2 linked regions of the Stegostoma tigrinum genome follow. The protein of the gene in region 2 binds, or shares a complex with, the protein of the main gene of each other region. Links are inferred from orthologs where the notes say so. Each region holds a gene or a part of one and is shown on either strand. Other genes may lie near its edges.

What was found.
Region 1: meaf6 (region 2) and bromodomain and PHD finger-containing protein 3-like share a complex: the UniProt entries of both Homo sapiens proteins name them as parts of the MOZ/MORF complex. The link is inferred for Stegostoma tigrinum from reciprocal best matches to the Homo sapiens genes MEAF6 and BRPF3.

What each region holds. Positions count from the first base shown.
Region 1 is NC_081374.1:26,928,536-26,935,414, forward strand, and holds the start of bromodomain and PHD finger-containing protein 3-like, read right to left. Parts: upstream 3,012-6,879; 5' UTR 2,729-3,011; intron 2,581-2,728; exon of another isoform or gene 2,475-2,580; intron 2,249-2,474; exon of another isoform or gene 2,181-2,248; intron 1-2,180. UniProt on the Homo sapiens protein: Scaffold subunit of various histone acetyltransferase (HAT) complexes, such as the MOZ/MORF and HBO1 complexes, which have a histone H3 acetyltransferase activity.
Region 2 is NC_081377.1:12,577,746-12,585,453, forward strand, and holds the start of meaf6 (chromatin modification-related protein MEAF6), read right to left. Parts: upstream 3,021-7,708; 5' UTR 2,920-3,020; coding exon 2,830-2,919; intron 925-2,829; coding exon 809-924; intron 1-808.

The DNA of each region.
Region 1 (6,879 bases), on a different chromosome or scaffold from region 2:
TCAACAGACAGAACGATCACTATAATCCCGAGTATGAAAACTTCTCACCACCATCACAAAAACTCAACAGGACTTATCCTTTAATCTGCAAACCCAGGCCTGTTTGATAAACTATACACACCTACGCATATCATGCATCTATCTTATATGTAAAAATCACAGTTGTTCAACTTAAAATGTCTAATCAGCATCTCTAACAAAGTCACTTCCATTTAGTGCGAAGAAGAAAATTTTCCAACATGTTAAAAATTGCAACAGTACTTACAATCCATAGCACAGCACATGGCTATTAAAGTTTTAACTTCAGCATTCAGAACGGGGTAGTAATGATGCCTTTGATTTTTCTGATTTTTCTCTACTTATAGCATACATGTAGTCACAAGCAGTTACAAACAGGTCATAAAATGTTGACTAAACCTTTCTACTTCTCTATCAAAAAATAAAACAGCTGAAGGAAAACATCACAAAAAATCAGACTGAAAGGCAAACAGAAATTCTCTTCATACTCTACATCCAAGTATCGGAACCAAACACAACCTCGAGCAGGAAATCAAAGAGGGGAATGTTTTTGTTGTTGCACCAACTACACTGTACTTGTATTGGCATATTAAAATCCAGTTATTTCATTAACACTATAAATTAATTGACTTGCAAACGTAGAGATCTCTATTTTCACAATTTCCTTCTTAATATAAATAACTAGAGGTAATTCACAGATGTAGGAAACATTGTTGGGCAAATGGATCACATGATATACATTGTTGCAGATGGCTTTTTGCAAGTTACAGTGTTTTACAGACTTTTCTAATCAATCTGTTCAGATTTTAATCATGCAAGAGGCCTTCTAGCTCACAACTAAAGACACTACTACCACCACCAATGCAGAGCAGAAATGGAGATAAGTAAATACTTTATATTACTTTTAAAATAAAGGAATACTTCCCAGTGATTTCTGCACAGGATATTATTTCTAGAACCTCTCACTACAAAAAAAGTTTAAAAGCCATATACACAAGTTGTTTGCACAATTCAGTTAAGTACTTTAGAAATGATTAAAAAGACATATTAGCATTCAATAGATAACAGGAACTGCAGATGCTGGAGATTCTGAGATAACAAGATGTAGAGGTGGATGAACACAGCAGGCCAAGCAGCGAGAGGAGCAGAAGGTTTCTGAGGAAGGGTCTAGGCCCAAAACGTCAGCCTTCCTGCTCATCTCACGCTGCTTGGCCTACTGTGTTCATCCAGCTCTACATCTTGTTTTCTTCGCATTCAATAGCTAAGGCACTCCTTTCAAGCAAAAGATTCTTTGAAACATAATTCAGTTACTCGCATAGATTTTTTTTAAAAATCATGAGCAAAAGTCAGAAAAAAGGAGTTTCAATTGGTTTATATTATTTTGAAATATCTTCTACAACATGTTGCTTTGCCCATCAATACAAATCGTCAGTAAAATAGTAAATCGAACTGCTTATGACATCTGTACAGAGATTTTACGAACTTAGCCACTTCATTCAAATTTACTTAGGTCCAGGATCCCATTAACGTCGCTATTTATCAATAAATCTGGATTATTTTATTTAAAGTACGGGCTGTACATGTTCTGAATTGCCTGTTCATTTTGTTTACCTCACTACAAACGAAATGAAACGAAATACAAATGAAAAGAAGGCCCAAAAACAAAACTCGAGCGTTCAAGACATCACAAGTCCTTCGTGAGCAGAAGACACTGCGCGAAAACGGGCGCTCGATTTAAATCGGGTTACCGCTGAACGTGTCCGGTTCATGTATAGTAGGTACTAATGGTGTACTTTATTCCACAAGTTAGACCCCGCTGTCACATTACTAGGGGTTGGACATTGTTGACGTGGCCGGAGGACCCCAACTCAGTCCTTTGTCTGTTTCCCCCATTGCACTGTGTCGGGCTCTGACACCAACTCAACTGGACACTCGTGCCAGCTCAGCTGTTCGATGACGTCGAGACGGGGAGGGGGTTCAAAAGGTGGCTGACGTCACCGCAGCAAACTAGTTTCCCGGGCCCATTTGAAAGTCCCTCTTGGCAGCAATGGACACCTAGTCCAGCCGCCATAAGGCTCATATTCCCATACCTTTCCAACTCTCTCCCCTCCCCACCCCCCCCCAACAAATGTATACTTCAACCCCTAAACAATAACACCCACCTGAAACCATGTTTCAGCAAACCACCCCTCCACTCCCGGCGTGAACCCCTCGCCACCTCCCTCCCAAACAGCACGAAGAATTTTCTAGAATCTCTTTTCATCAACCGACCCACCATCAATACACTCGCCCCCTCCCCCAAAGCCTACACCAAGCAACGACTCAACCGACCCACTAATAGGCGCGTGCAAAATTGATAGGCGCTCCAGCCAATAGACGCCAGGGTTCATCTTCACTCAGCGCCAATCAAGAAACAGCTTACCCTCGACTGACCAATTGGAGAAGGCGGGACTTACCGTGCTTGGCTCCACCCCAGTTCGGCTGGACGGAGAGAATTTACTGTAGAACAAGATGGCGACTATTTCCACAACAAGCGACCTTCTCCATTCCCCCCCCGCCAAAGCATATTAATTACAGACCTCTAACGGCTTATCTGAGTGCGTTTCACTCGCGGCCGATGGCAGCGGCGCGACCCAAAAGCTCACGGCTTCACTTTCCAACCCGCAAATAACCGAATATCCAGAAACGCGTAAAAACAAACGCCATTTACCTTGAATGCAAAGTCGGGCAGGGAGAGGCAGAGAAGGGGGGGGGAAGCGAAATCACTTTCCGGGACACAAATAATTACAAATAGCACCGAAGCGCCTGGTAAATGCCGTTCCGTGCCCACGGTTCAACGCTTAATATGTCGTCTTCTTGGTACGGAGCGCTTCATATTGCGCCCGCAAATGTGTCAGGGCGAGAAAGGCGGACTTTTAATGGAGATTTGAGTGCGAGGAACAGTACGTAAGATAGCGGTAGAAACGCGAACCTTTTGCCGCTGTTGTTGGGGACGGGGGGGAGGGGGTTGTGGGTGGTGGTGTTACTGGTGTGGGGGGAGGGGAGTTGGGGGGGTTTGGTGGAAGAGAAAAAAAACTCTTTTCAATCAGAGGCCGGACACGCCCCTGCGCATGACCCGAGCGATCGCGGAAACCCCGTGCAGGGGCAGCAACCGGGGGGGGGGGGGGGGGCGCGCGCGCGAGAGGAGGGGTGCGGGAATGGGGAGATTCAGCCTGGGGTGGGTGCTGCCCCTACTCTCTCACACAAACACAACGTCCCCGCTCCTCCACATCAGCGACTGGCCGCTCCCCCTTGAATCTGACTGCATTTTTGCTAGGCTTCGAATAACGGGCGGGCGGTGCTTCCCTCCCCCTGCACAAACGCTATTTTTCTGTTCTCCCCCCTCGCTAAGCGAAAGATCGAGCGTTATCCATCTCTCCCGCTGTTCCTACTTCATGTTAGCAGTAAAGTGTGAGGCTATTGCAGAACCAAACGCTCCCATTTAAAAATCCCCAGGAACAGTTTACCGAGGCCTGAAAAAAAAGTTACTTTTTGAAACCCAAGGTTGGGGGATTGCCACACTTAAGACAACCAGAGGTCATTCGCAAAAGTGGAAGAAAATTATCACCTCAAAGTACCACTACGGATTGTACATGTTATCTTTTGCCTTCAAAGTGTTTATACTTAATTCTTCCCGCCTCGGCCGTGTTTTTATCGCTTCGATTTTGAATTAAAATTGCCATAAGATTGTCTATAAATAAACTAGGGTACTTGAAATGTTCCGAATGTGTCAAATTACTGGAGTTGCAAACCAACGATTGTTGAGGACAGCAGTTGGTTGTTTTGCTTGGCTGGTTGGAAAATTCCTCGTAATGGAAATAAATTGTGGTTACACGAATGAAGGGAAATGCATAATGCAACAAGTTTGATCAGCCTCGCAGCTTCAGTCGAAGTCCACTACTGCACGAAACACTCCTGCTCCGACTGAGCATAGAATAGCACCAAAAGTGCAAAAAGTCTCAACCAATTATTAAAAAAACGCGGGAGATCGTGCTATATGATTACAATTAACCAATGAGAGTATGGCCAAATGATCTATCACGTGATTCCTATTGGCCAATAAGTTGATAAGCCTGATAACTTGCGTTAAAAAAAATCTTAGTAGGATGAATGGATTACGATTCACTATGGCCTGGGCGGTGTGAGAAAAGTAGATATTGGAGCGTTTAGCGGTAAATCAAATTTTGATAGCAGGGTGACAAAACGGGTGCTGACACCACAGATGCATACAGCTCAGCTTTTGAAAGACCTAGCTCTTTCTCATTTTTTTAATAGTTGAATTAACGCTGCGCACAATCATAGAATGGGATAGGTAACGTAGTATTTGGGTCAGGCTAACGTTTTGAGTCTAAATGTCTTCTTCAGAGCTGGAGAGCGTAGGGGACAGCATTTAAGCCATAGTTTAGGCTAAGGTGGGTTGTGGGGGTCGTGGATTTGGAATGTTAGTAGAGGAAAAAAAATCTTGGTAGTTTAGGTTAAGTGGTTAGAATGGCAGAACAATGGTGTGTCTCCTGCCGGACTTGAAAGGGCTGACAGTCCCACTAACGTGAGATTACCGGACAGAGGACATGGTAGCAGAATGCAACATGCTAAAATGGAAGAAATGGTTCATAGTTTGAAGGTGATGAACCCAGTGTAAAGTCCAGAAGGCTGTAAGATACCTATTCTGAAGATAGGATGAGATGTTGTTCCTCCAGTGTACGTTGTGATTCACTAGAATACTGCAACATGCTGAGGACTGACATGCAGGCATGTGAGCAGGATGTGGTGTTAAAATGGCTGGCTATGGGAAGTTTGGGGTCATGCTTGTGCAGAAACCCAAGGTGTTCTGCAGAGTAGTCACCCAGTTTGTGCTTGGTTTCCCTAATGTAGAAGGGACTATGCTGGGTGCAGAGAATACAATGCACAAGATTGGAGGAGGTACAGGTGAAATGCTGCTTCACCTGGGAAGACTGTTTAGGCCCTTGGATAATGAGCAAAGAGTAGGTGAAGAGGCAGATGTTGCACTTTCTGCAGTTACTTGGGAAGGTGCCATGGTTTGGGATGCATGTGGTGATGTTGGTGATTGCAGAATGGACTAGTGTGTGATGGTCTTGAATGACCATGTGGATCATATGAAAGCTAACAGTGTGGGAGCAAAATGTGCCCAGCTTCTCGACAGCCTTACTGACTGTTCTGAAACCCCAGGGGTCTTGCTTGCCATCAAGAGGTGAAAATACCCAAGAATCTGAGATGGACATAGTGTATATCACTGCCTCAATCCCTTTGCTAGGTGAAGAAAATGCATTTCTTATGAAATTGTCCACGTGTAAGAGGTGAGCTACCTGTGTATTACATATTGTCCATACCAGAGGCAGAGTTGGAGGAACCTGACCTGGTGCTAAAATGTATAAGAATGGGCCCATGTCCTCAGATTATAGCAGAGATTGTAACAAGGTCAGCCAGGTGGACCTTAGTTCCCTGACTGGGGCTGTTACTCTGGTCCAGCCAAGGAGCCCTAGTACATAGATTATAAACAGGAGTGTCCTGTTAATTGAGAACTGTTTGAGGGAGCTGGATCAGTGTCAAGGGTTCTCCATATAGAAATAAAGGTGACTTGGTGACTGGATACTGGACCCCAGGGGAGTTACTTCATCTGCCTGTTGACTGATCTTCAGTCCATCCTAATATATTCCCTCCAATATCATGCACCTTTAAATTTTGATTACTGACCTGTGTTGAGTTTTCAGGAATTTTTTTAATAAAGTTCAAACGAAAGCCACACCCACTGGTTCCTGTTAATCAACTTTGCTAATAATATGAACAATACTCTTTATCAGATTTGTCAAACATGATCTTTCATTCATAGCTACACATTGTCTAATCAGATGATGATTTTCTAAATATTCAGTAATCACATCCTTTATTTTCCCAATTACTTATGTCAAACTAACATCTAGTTCTGTGTCATCTCTTCCCTACTTTCCTTAAACAATGGGGTTACATTTGTTATAGAGGCAGGCAGGCATCATTATATAATTAGTAGAATTTGAGAGATGATTCCCAATGCTTCCACTATCTCTAGCCATCCACCTCAACATTAGGGCGAAGGTCATTGGGTCCTAAGGATTTGTCAACTTGTAGTCAGAGTAATTTCTCCAATGATCCCTATTTTTACTGAGGCATTTCTCAGAGCAGTCCTTAGCCACACCAATGATCTTCCCTACATCCTATGTTCAGAATTACTCCAAGTTATGAAGGATGGTTCAATATATAAACAAACAAAATAGGTGCTGCAGCAGGCCATTTGGCCCCTTGAACTTGCATTCCCATTCAATAAGGTCATAGCTGATCTGTTTGTATTTCAAATTCCCACTTCTATGTTGTCCACATCCCATACAATATTTTTAAAACATAATATGTTTTGCTAAAACAATACCTAACAAAAAAACTTGCATTTGTGTTTGGCAATACTATCTAAATTAACTGACTGTGGAAAACCTGTTTTATATATTGTATCTTTGGTGTTAAATAACTACATTTAGATTAAGTTCACTCCTTTTTCTGATCTTGAAAACATCCTCCCAACCTGTAATGCATTTTAATTTTATTACTCAATTTTGATACAAAATAAAGAATGGTGGAGAAAACAAGCAGTGTGTTCCCAATTTAAATAAAATTAAAAGATTCCACATGTAAAGAAAATAATTTGTAAATTCTTGCATTTCCTCTAAGCCGCCTTTGGTTAATCACCACAACTACAATGAAAAAAAATTCCACTGAACTTATTCATATTAAAGTACTTATATAGCAACTCTAAGAAAGAAACAATTTTTCTACTTT
Region 2 (7,708 bases):
TGACTGTCAGCTCAGGTCGTTAATGTCAGTAAATTGTTAACTTGTGGGGATTTCAACTGATCCTTTTTTTATGGTTTATGTGTGGAAGGAACTGCCAGAGGAAGTGGTGGATACAAGACATTTGGCTAAGTACATGAATATGAAAGAATATGAAAGAAGAAGGGCTAAACGCAGGCAAGTGGGAGTAGTTTAGTTTACGAACATGGTTGGCATGGACTGTTTTCATGTTGTATGACTTTATAACTCTACACAGATGTACGTTCCAGGAACAGTCAGCACACGGTGTTCAGCAAAAGTCCTGGCGTACCACTCCCTGGCCTTCACTCAGAGTTGACAACGCCAACTGTAGGGGTCCCAAGTAATAACACATCTTCAGGTGAGTTAACATGATAGGAATCAGAGACTCATCCAGAGACCACCACAACTCAGCTATGTACTTCAGTGTATGTTTAGGAACAGGTTACTAGAAACCCTATTTAGGTGTATTCATTACTTTTTTTTAATGTACAGAACTGTCTGCATTTATTTTTGAGAATTCTGAAAGTTCAATGTACAACAGTTGGCCTCAGAAAGTAAAATCAAAACTATTTAAATTCACACAACGCAAAATTTTTCATCCATTTGTTTGAAAAGTATGATAAGCAAAATGTCCATTCCAGCAGTAAATTAACAACATTTCAAAAAGCAGACTTTAAAAAGTGAAATAATATTGCCTGTGAATTATACAGGAATGGACTCGAAAATTTGCCAAATTTGTTTCGGTTGAGTCACTTTGACAGCTCTATTAACACAAAGTCAATACACGTACTTCTGATTGGTCAAGTAACGATCCCATCCACGAATGATATTCCCATACATTTGTGTATCTTCCAAATAGCTTCCTTCAAAAGCATAGATCTGACGTTCCAGGTTTGCCAAAGTCTCCTGTGGAAATAAAAGTTACAAAAATATTTATCAAACTGCTGGGGAAGAAAAATGACCTGCTATGAAGATTTGTTGTAATGTTTATTTCAAAGAATTATGAAAAACAGTTGGACAAAGAAAGAGAATGAATGCTTTTTGTTGGGATTCACAACAATTGGAGCTAAACTGGTTAGTTTTGAAAATCAGACACAGGAATTGTGATGTACCATTAGCCAGTATGTGTTATTTGTAATGTAATTACAACCTTTTGAGTTACAAAGAAAATGCTGGAAAAACTCAACAGGTCTACACAGAGAACAGAGTAAACATCTTGAATACAATAGGCCTCTTTAGAATAAACATGTCACCCCAAACTCATAACTTTAACTCTGCTTCTCTGTCCACAGATGCAGCCAGACCTGTTGACTTTCTCCAGCATTTTCAGTGGTTATTTCAGATTTTCAGAATCTACAGTATTTTGCTTTGATTTAAACTTTGTGCTGCCTGTTCATTTGGATTTATTTCTGTGTATAACCAATCATTGCTAATCACTTCGTGCACTAGTTGAATGCATTAGCAGAGTCAAAAGCACAAGTGGCGAGCACATACAAAGCTTGTACTGCACTTTTGTGTACTGGGATTGGAAAAGATGCTAAGAGTCATAGGCAAAGAGCTTCTGACCTCGTGAAGCGTAATGGCATAAGAGAGGAGAAAGAAAGCTTGTGACTTTCAGATGCCTCACAGGACATTCTGGTGAAGGCAGTGGAAAGGTGGTCTGTATCACCAGAGGCCAGGAGGCACCCCATCCCTGCCCCCAGACAAGGTTCAAAAGGTAAGTAGAGGTAGAGATCGATGCAATGAACCAAACTGGTGGTCCTGAATGAGGTGCCAAAGGAAGCTCAACATCCCATGAGTAAACAAGGTCAATGAACATATACTCAGATGCCACATTCGACAAGTGCAACAGGAGCCTCAAATTGCCCAAATCGTCTCACACTGATTTCTCTCTTTTCACATCTATTAATAACGATTCATACCAAATATCTACGGCTTTACCTTGATCTCTGAATGTGGCACTATTACAAGCTGCATACCCATATTTTCCACCTTGCATACTTCACCAATTATGGCAGTCACAGCAAACACACAAAAACATAAACAGGGACCACACAAACCCATCACTGAGAATCCTGCACAGGAAAATAAAAGTTGTTGCAAGTAAAAATCTTTGTCAATGTCCCTCACTCAGCTGCAGATAAACCGACACTTGCATATATTTGTGTCACACCGGATCGCTGTTTCAGAGTTTGCAATCCCAGCAGTTCAGCTCTCCACCCTACTAGATCTGTCGCTGGGGGAGGAAACTGAAATTCCCACTCTGCCCAACAAAGCCTGGGGGAAAAAAAAATAAAGCTCAATGTAGCCTTGAACGGAGAAAGCGGTGGTTCTCTGTGTTGACAAGGCTGGGACACCCCACACATTCTACACTGACCGTAACAACAGTGTAAGCGAGAATAATGTCTCACTGTGCGGCGTGTGACAAGAGGGACATGAGCAACAAATACATGCACACCACTCCTGCAGGTCTGTCCGATATGACACAAGCCCACACCCAGGGTGCCCGCTGTTGATGCCCCAGGGCAGGGACACCAGCTCCAACATCACCCTTTCCTCCCCCCCCCCCACCACCACACACAAGTGGAGGGTCACTGGATAACTCTCCCTATCTCCTAAGTACCAGACCTGGGGCCAACCCCCCCCACCAACCACATGGCCCTGACATCGTCCTCAACCGCCTCCCCGACCCGCTGCGGCCCAGGCTCTCCCCGGCTTTTCCTGCCTGAGCCTCCCCGGCCTCGAGCACTGGCTCCGGTTCCCGCCGAACCCGCTGCTTTCCCCACCCCCATCCATCCGAGGCTCACATACCGCCAGCTCCTGCTTCCTCTTGACCAGCTCAGCCAACTCCCGCCGGGTGTCCGGAATTTGTGGGGTCTGCGCCTTGTTGTGCATCGCCATGTCGGAGCTGGCGAGCAAGCAGCGCCCGGGCTGGGGGGTATAACCGCTTCTTCAGGCCGCGGCCGGCAGGAGGGCGCAGGATGGACCTCCAACCAGTAGGGGGCGCCGCCTGGGCAAGACTGCCACCGGCAGCCCTGACCGGTGAATTACACTGAGGACATTGCCACCGTCAGGGTTGGAGGGTGAATTACACTGAGTACACTGCCACCATCAGGAATGGAGGGTGAATTACACTGAGTACACTGCCACCGGCAGGCCTGACCGGTGAATTACACTGAGGACATTGCCACCGTCAGGGTTGGAGGGTGACTTACACTGAGTACACTGCCACCATCAGGAATGGAGGGTGAATTACACTGAGTACACTGCCACCGGCAGGCCTGACGGGTGAATTACACTGAGGACATTGCCACCGTCAGGGTTGGAGGGTGACTTACACTGAGTACACTGCCACCATCAGGAATGGAGGGTGAATTACACTGAGTACACCGCCACCGTCAGGCCTGAAGGGTGAATTACACTGAGTACACTGCCACCGTCAGGAATAGAGGGTGAATTACACTGAGTACACTGCCACCATCAGGAACGGAGGATGAATTACACAGAATACACTGCCCCATCAGGGCTCGAGGGTGAATTACAGAGTACACTGCCACCGTCAGGACTCGTGAATGCATTACACCCCCCCCCAGGACTGAAGATTGACTTATGCCCAATATATTACCACCCTGAGGACACGACGTGTTTTACACTAACTCAGCCTGACTCTCAGGAGTAGACAAGTTATGCCTAATGCACCACCACCGTCAGGACTGGACAGTGATTTACACTGAATACACTGCCATTCTCAGCCACAGAGTGGTGACTCATGTTCCGGCAAGTATATCTGTTAGCCTCACTGCAGTGTACCTATTCTCTGACTCAATCATGTGCCTTTTTCCCACTGATCCCTTCCCAAAAATTCCAACCACTTGTTATCGCAATTTTCCTGTTTAACCCATTTGGTCCCAGTACGAGACCTGGCAACATCTGTAGCTGCTGCGTCAGTCAGGTGGACCCAGGCTGGGCTCTTGGCGGTGGCAGCAAAGAAAAGTTTGGGCTGATGGAGGCCCTGGCGTCATCGGTGGCAGCTGCATTGGGGAGGCCCAGCAAAGACTTATGGTGGCTGCAGTATCGGTAGAAGCAAGATGGCGCCGCAGAATGGTGGCTCTTGATCTGGCAATGCAGCAACAGCTTGTCTCTCCAGGCCCATGACGGAATTCTTTACAAGGACTGTCAAGTTGAACTTTATTTTTCTGCCTTTATATTCTATGTTTTGTTTTTTTTCTGTGTTTTAAGATGGCGCCAGAGAGCAGCAACGCAATACTACAGTTTTCACTGTATTTTGTAACAGAATACATGTGACAATAAATAAACAAAATAACCAGGACTGGAAAGAGACAGTAGGAACTGCAGATGCTGGAGAATCTGAGATAACAAAGTGTAGAGCTGGATGAACACAGCAGGCCAAGCAGCATCAGAGGAGCAGGAAAGTTTGATGTTTCAGGTCAAAGACCCTTCTTCAGAAACCAGGACTGGAGGGTGTGTTACACACAACACAGTTCCAATTACTGGATTCTTTCTATAATGAAGTAATCAAAACTGCATTCAGTACTCAAATTATGGACTAATGTATGGTTCCAGCATAACGTTCCCATTATTATAGTCCATACATTGAATACTACAGGAAAGCATTTTTTTCACCTTGACAGCTCTGTGAATATTCATTGCAAGGTTTCTTAAGTTCCTCCGAAGAAACTTCGGAGCGTGGGTTCATAATTCCTTGAAAGCAGAATCACAGGTAGATAGGATAGTGAAAAAGACATTTTGTCTGCTTGCCTTTAGTGGTCAGTGCATTGAGTACAGGAGTTGGGAGGTGACATGCGGCTGTACAGGACATTGTTTCAGCCGCTATTGGAATATTGTGTGCAATTCTGGTCCCCCTCCTACAGGAAGGATGTTGTGAAACTTGAAAGGTTTCAGAAAATATTTACAAGAATGTTGCCGGGGTTGGAGGATTTGAGCTGGAGGGAGAGGCTGAATAGACTGGGGTTATATTCCCTGGAGCGTCAGAGGCTGAGCCGTGACCTTATAGAGGTTTATAAAATCATGGGGAGCATGAAGAGGGTAAACAGACATGGTCTTTTCCCTGAGGTGTGGCTGTCTAAAACTAGAAGGCGAGGTTTAAGATGAGGGGGAAAAGATTTAAAAGGGACATGGGGTAACTTTTTAACACAGACCGTGATGGAATGAGCTGCCTGAGGACGTGAAGGCTGGTAGAATTACATTTAAAAGGCTCAAAAACAAAGTTTCTGGAAAAGCTCAGCAGGTCTGGCAGCATGTGTGAAGGAGAAAAGAGTTAACATTTCGGGTCCAGTGACCCTTCCTCAGAACAGTTCTGAGGATGGGTCACCAGACCCGAAACGTTAACTCTGTTTCCTCCTTCACTGATACTGCCAGACCTGCTGAGCTTTTCCAGCATCTTTGTTTTTGTTCCTGATTTACAGCATCCACAGTTATTTCGGTTCTTACATTTAAAAGGCATCTGGATGGCTATACGAATAGGTAGGGTTTAGAGTGATATCAGCGACATGCTGGCAGACAGAACTAGATTTATTTAGGATATCTAGTCGGCATGCACATGTTAGACCGAAGGCTATTTCAATGCTGTCCGTCTCTATGACTATTTCCACTCTACTATTTCTCATTCGTTCATCAGGTATGCATACTGTTACCTTGTTTGACCTCCTCAACAGATCACCTTGCAGTTCTACAGGTTAAATTGCTGTCACAGCTTTTGTATCTACCTGACTTGTCCATTGCTATCTTCCACAGGGCACCTTCGCATTATTGCCAAAATAGGATTGTAAGTTATTGAGGATATTTTTGATGGAATAAATGGACGGCAAGTCTTTGGTTGAGTAGAGATTGGACAGATGAGGAGTTCATCTGAAACAAGAGAACATCACTGGTAAAGGGGGTGAAGAAGAATGGAGACAGGCAATGTTTCAGGGACAGAATAGTATGGTTTTAGACCGAAAGATGGTACTTGAAACCAGGACTCTGAGGTTGCATCCATCAAATTGGGCATTTGAGAAAGAGGTGAAATTAGACTGTTGTCTGAAGTTTTTGCTGAAAGTTTAATTAGGTTAACTTTGGTTTTGTTACTTGTCAGCTAAGTGGTTGGATAACCCAGCAGATGGTGAAGCAATAATGTCGAGTACTATCAACTCACAAATGCAAGCTGGCATCATAGCTACGACTATTGGTACTGCATAGACAAAGGTCAGACAAAAAATTAACTTTGGTGCAAATATATGGGCACAGGGTAATAGCTAATGTCATGTGATGAATTCATACAACAGGACTGGAAACACATCGTAACACGGACTCAAATGCTGGAAGTAAATACTTTCATCGGAGATTGAACCCAAAGGGACAGAAAAACAGTTGGACAGACAATGGAGTGGATAAAGGTCAGCCCAAGGAATGAATAGCTGCTAATGGGGGCTATAATGGCTGATAACAGGTTGTGTGTGGCAGCAGCCCATGTAACGACAAGCCTTGGTGTGTGGGTGTTGGGGTAAGGACATGGAAAAAGATGCAGAAACACCAAAATTGTTGAACTCCACATTAAGTCCAGAAGGTGGCAGAGTTCCAAAAGGGAAACTGAGGTGCTGCCCTTCTACTTGCACTGACTTTCGCTGGAGCACTGCAGCGAGCCCGAGTCAGACATGTTGGCCAGGGAACATGGTGGTGTGTTAAAATGACAGGCATTTGGAAGCTCAGAGTCGTTTTGCTGACAGAATGTAGGTGTTCTGCAAAATGGTCACCCAGACTGAGCTTCGTTTCTCCAATGTAGAGGACACATATTTCCCCTCCTCTCCCTTGACAGCCTTCCATAAGGCCCATTCCCTCCGGGACACCCCAGTCCATTCCTCCTTCCCTCTACACCGCCATGGCACCTTTCCATTCATTGCAAATTGTCAAGCGCCTACCCATTTTACTTACTCCCTCCTCACCATCCAAAGCCCCAAACCCTTGAAGTGAAGCAGTGATATACCAGCACCTCACTGAATTTTGTCTACTGTACTTGCTGCTTACGATGTGGTCTCCTCTCCACCCAACCTTTTCCTAGCTACCATCAGTTCCGCAGAATGTTCACTGGACTCAAAACTGATTAATCTGATTTCTCTCCATAAATTCTGCCAGATCTGCTGAGCGTTTTCATCAATTTCTGTTTTTGTTTCTGATTTCCAACATCCACAGATGGTCAAAGATAACAGTGTGGAGCTGGAGGAACACAGCAGGCCAGGCAGCATCAGAAGAGCAGGAAAGTGCCCATTCCTGAAGAAGGATCCTGACCCGAAATGTCAACTTTCCTACTCCTCTGATGTTGCCAGGCCTGCTGTGTTCCTCCAGATCCACACTGTGTTAACTCAGTTATTTCAGGGTTTTTTTTTTTACCCTAAAATATCATTATTTTAGGTATGGGCATTGGTCATCATTCTTTCCCTGATGTAAAGAGGAAAACAAAAACACTCTTCACACCATTATACTATTATGCTTGTGGGAAACGCACAAGTGCTGACATGTTTAGGTAAATAGCCAACATTATTTCTTTAGTCTTCATACTTGGGCACTGATGCATTCTTTGAATTGGCATAAAGCTTTCAAAAGACAATGGAAAACTTTTTTTTAAAGAAAGACAAAACATGATAGGCAACGCAATAACATCTTTCATTGAAGG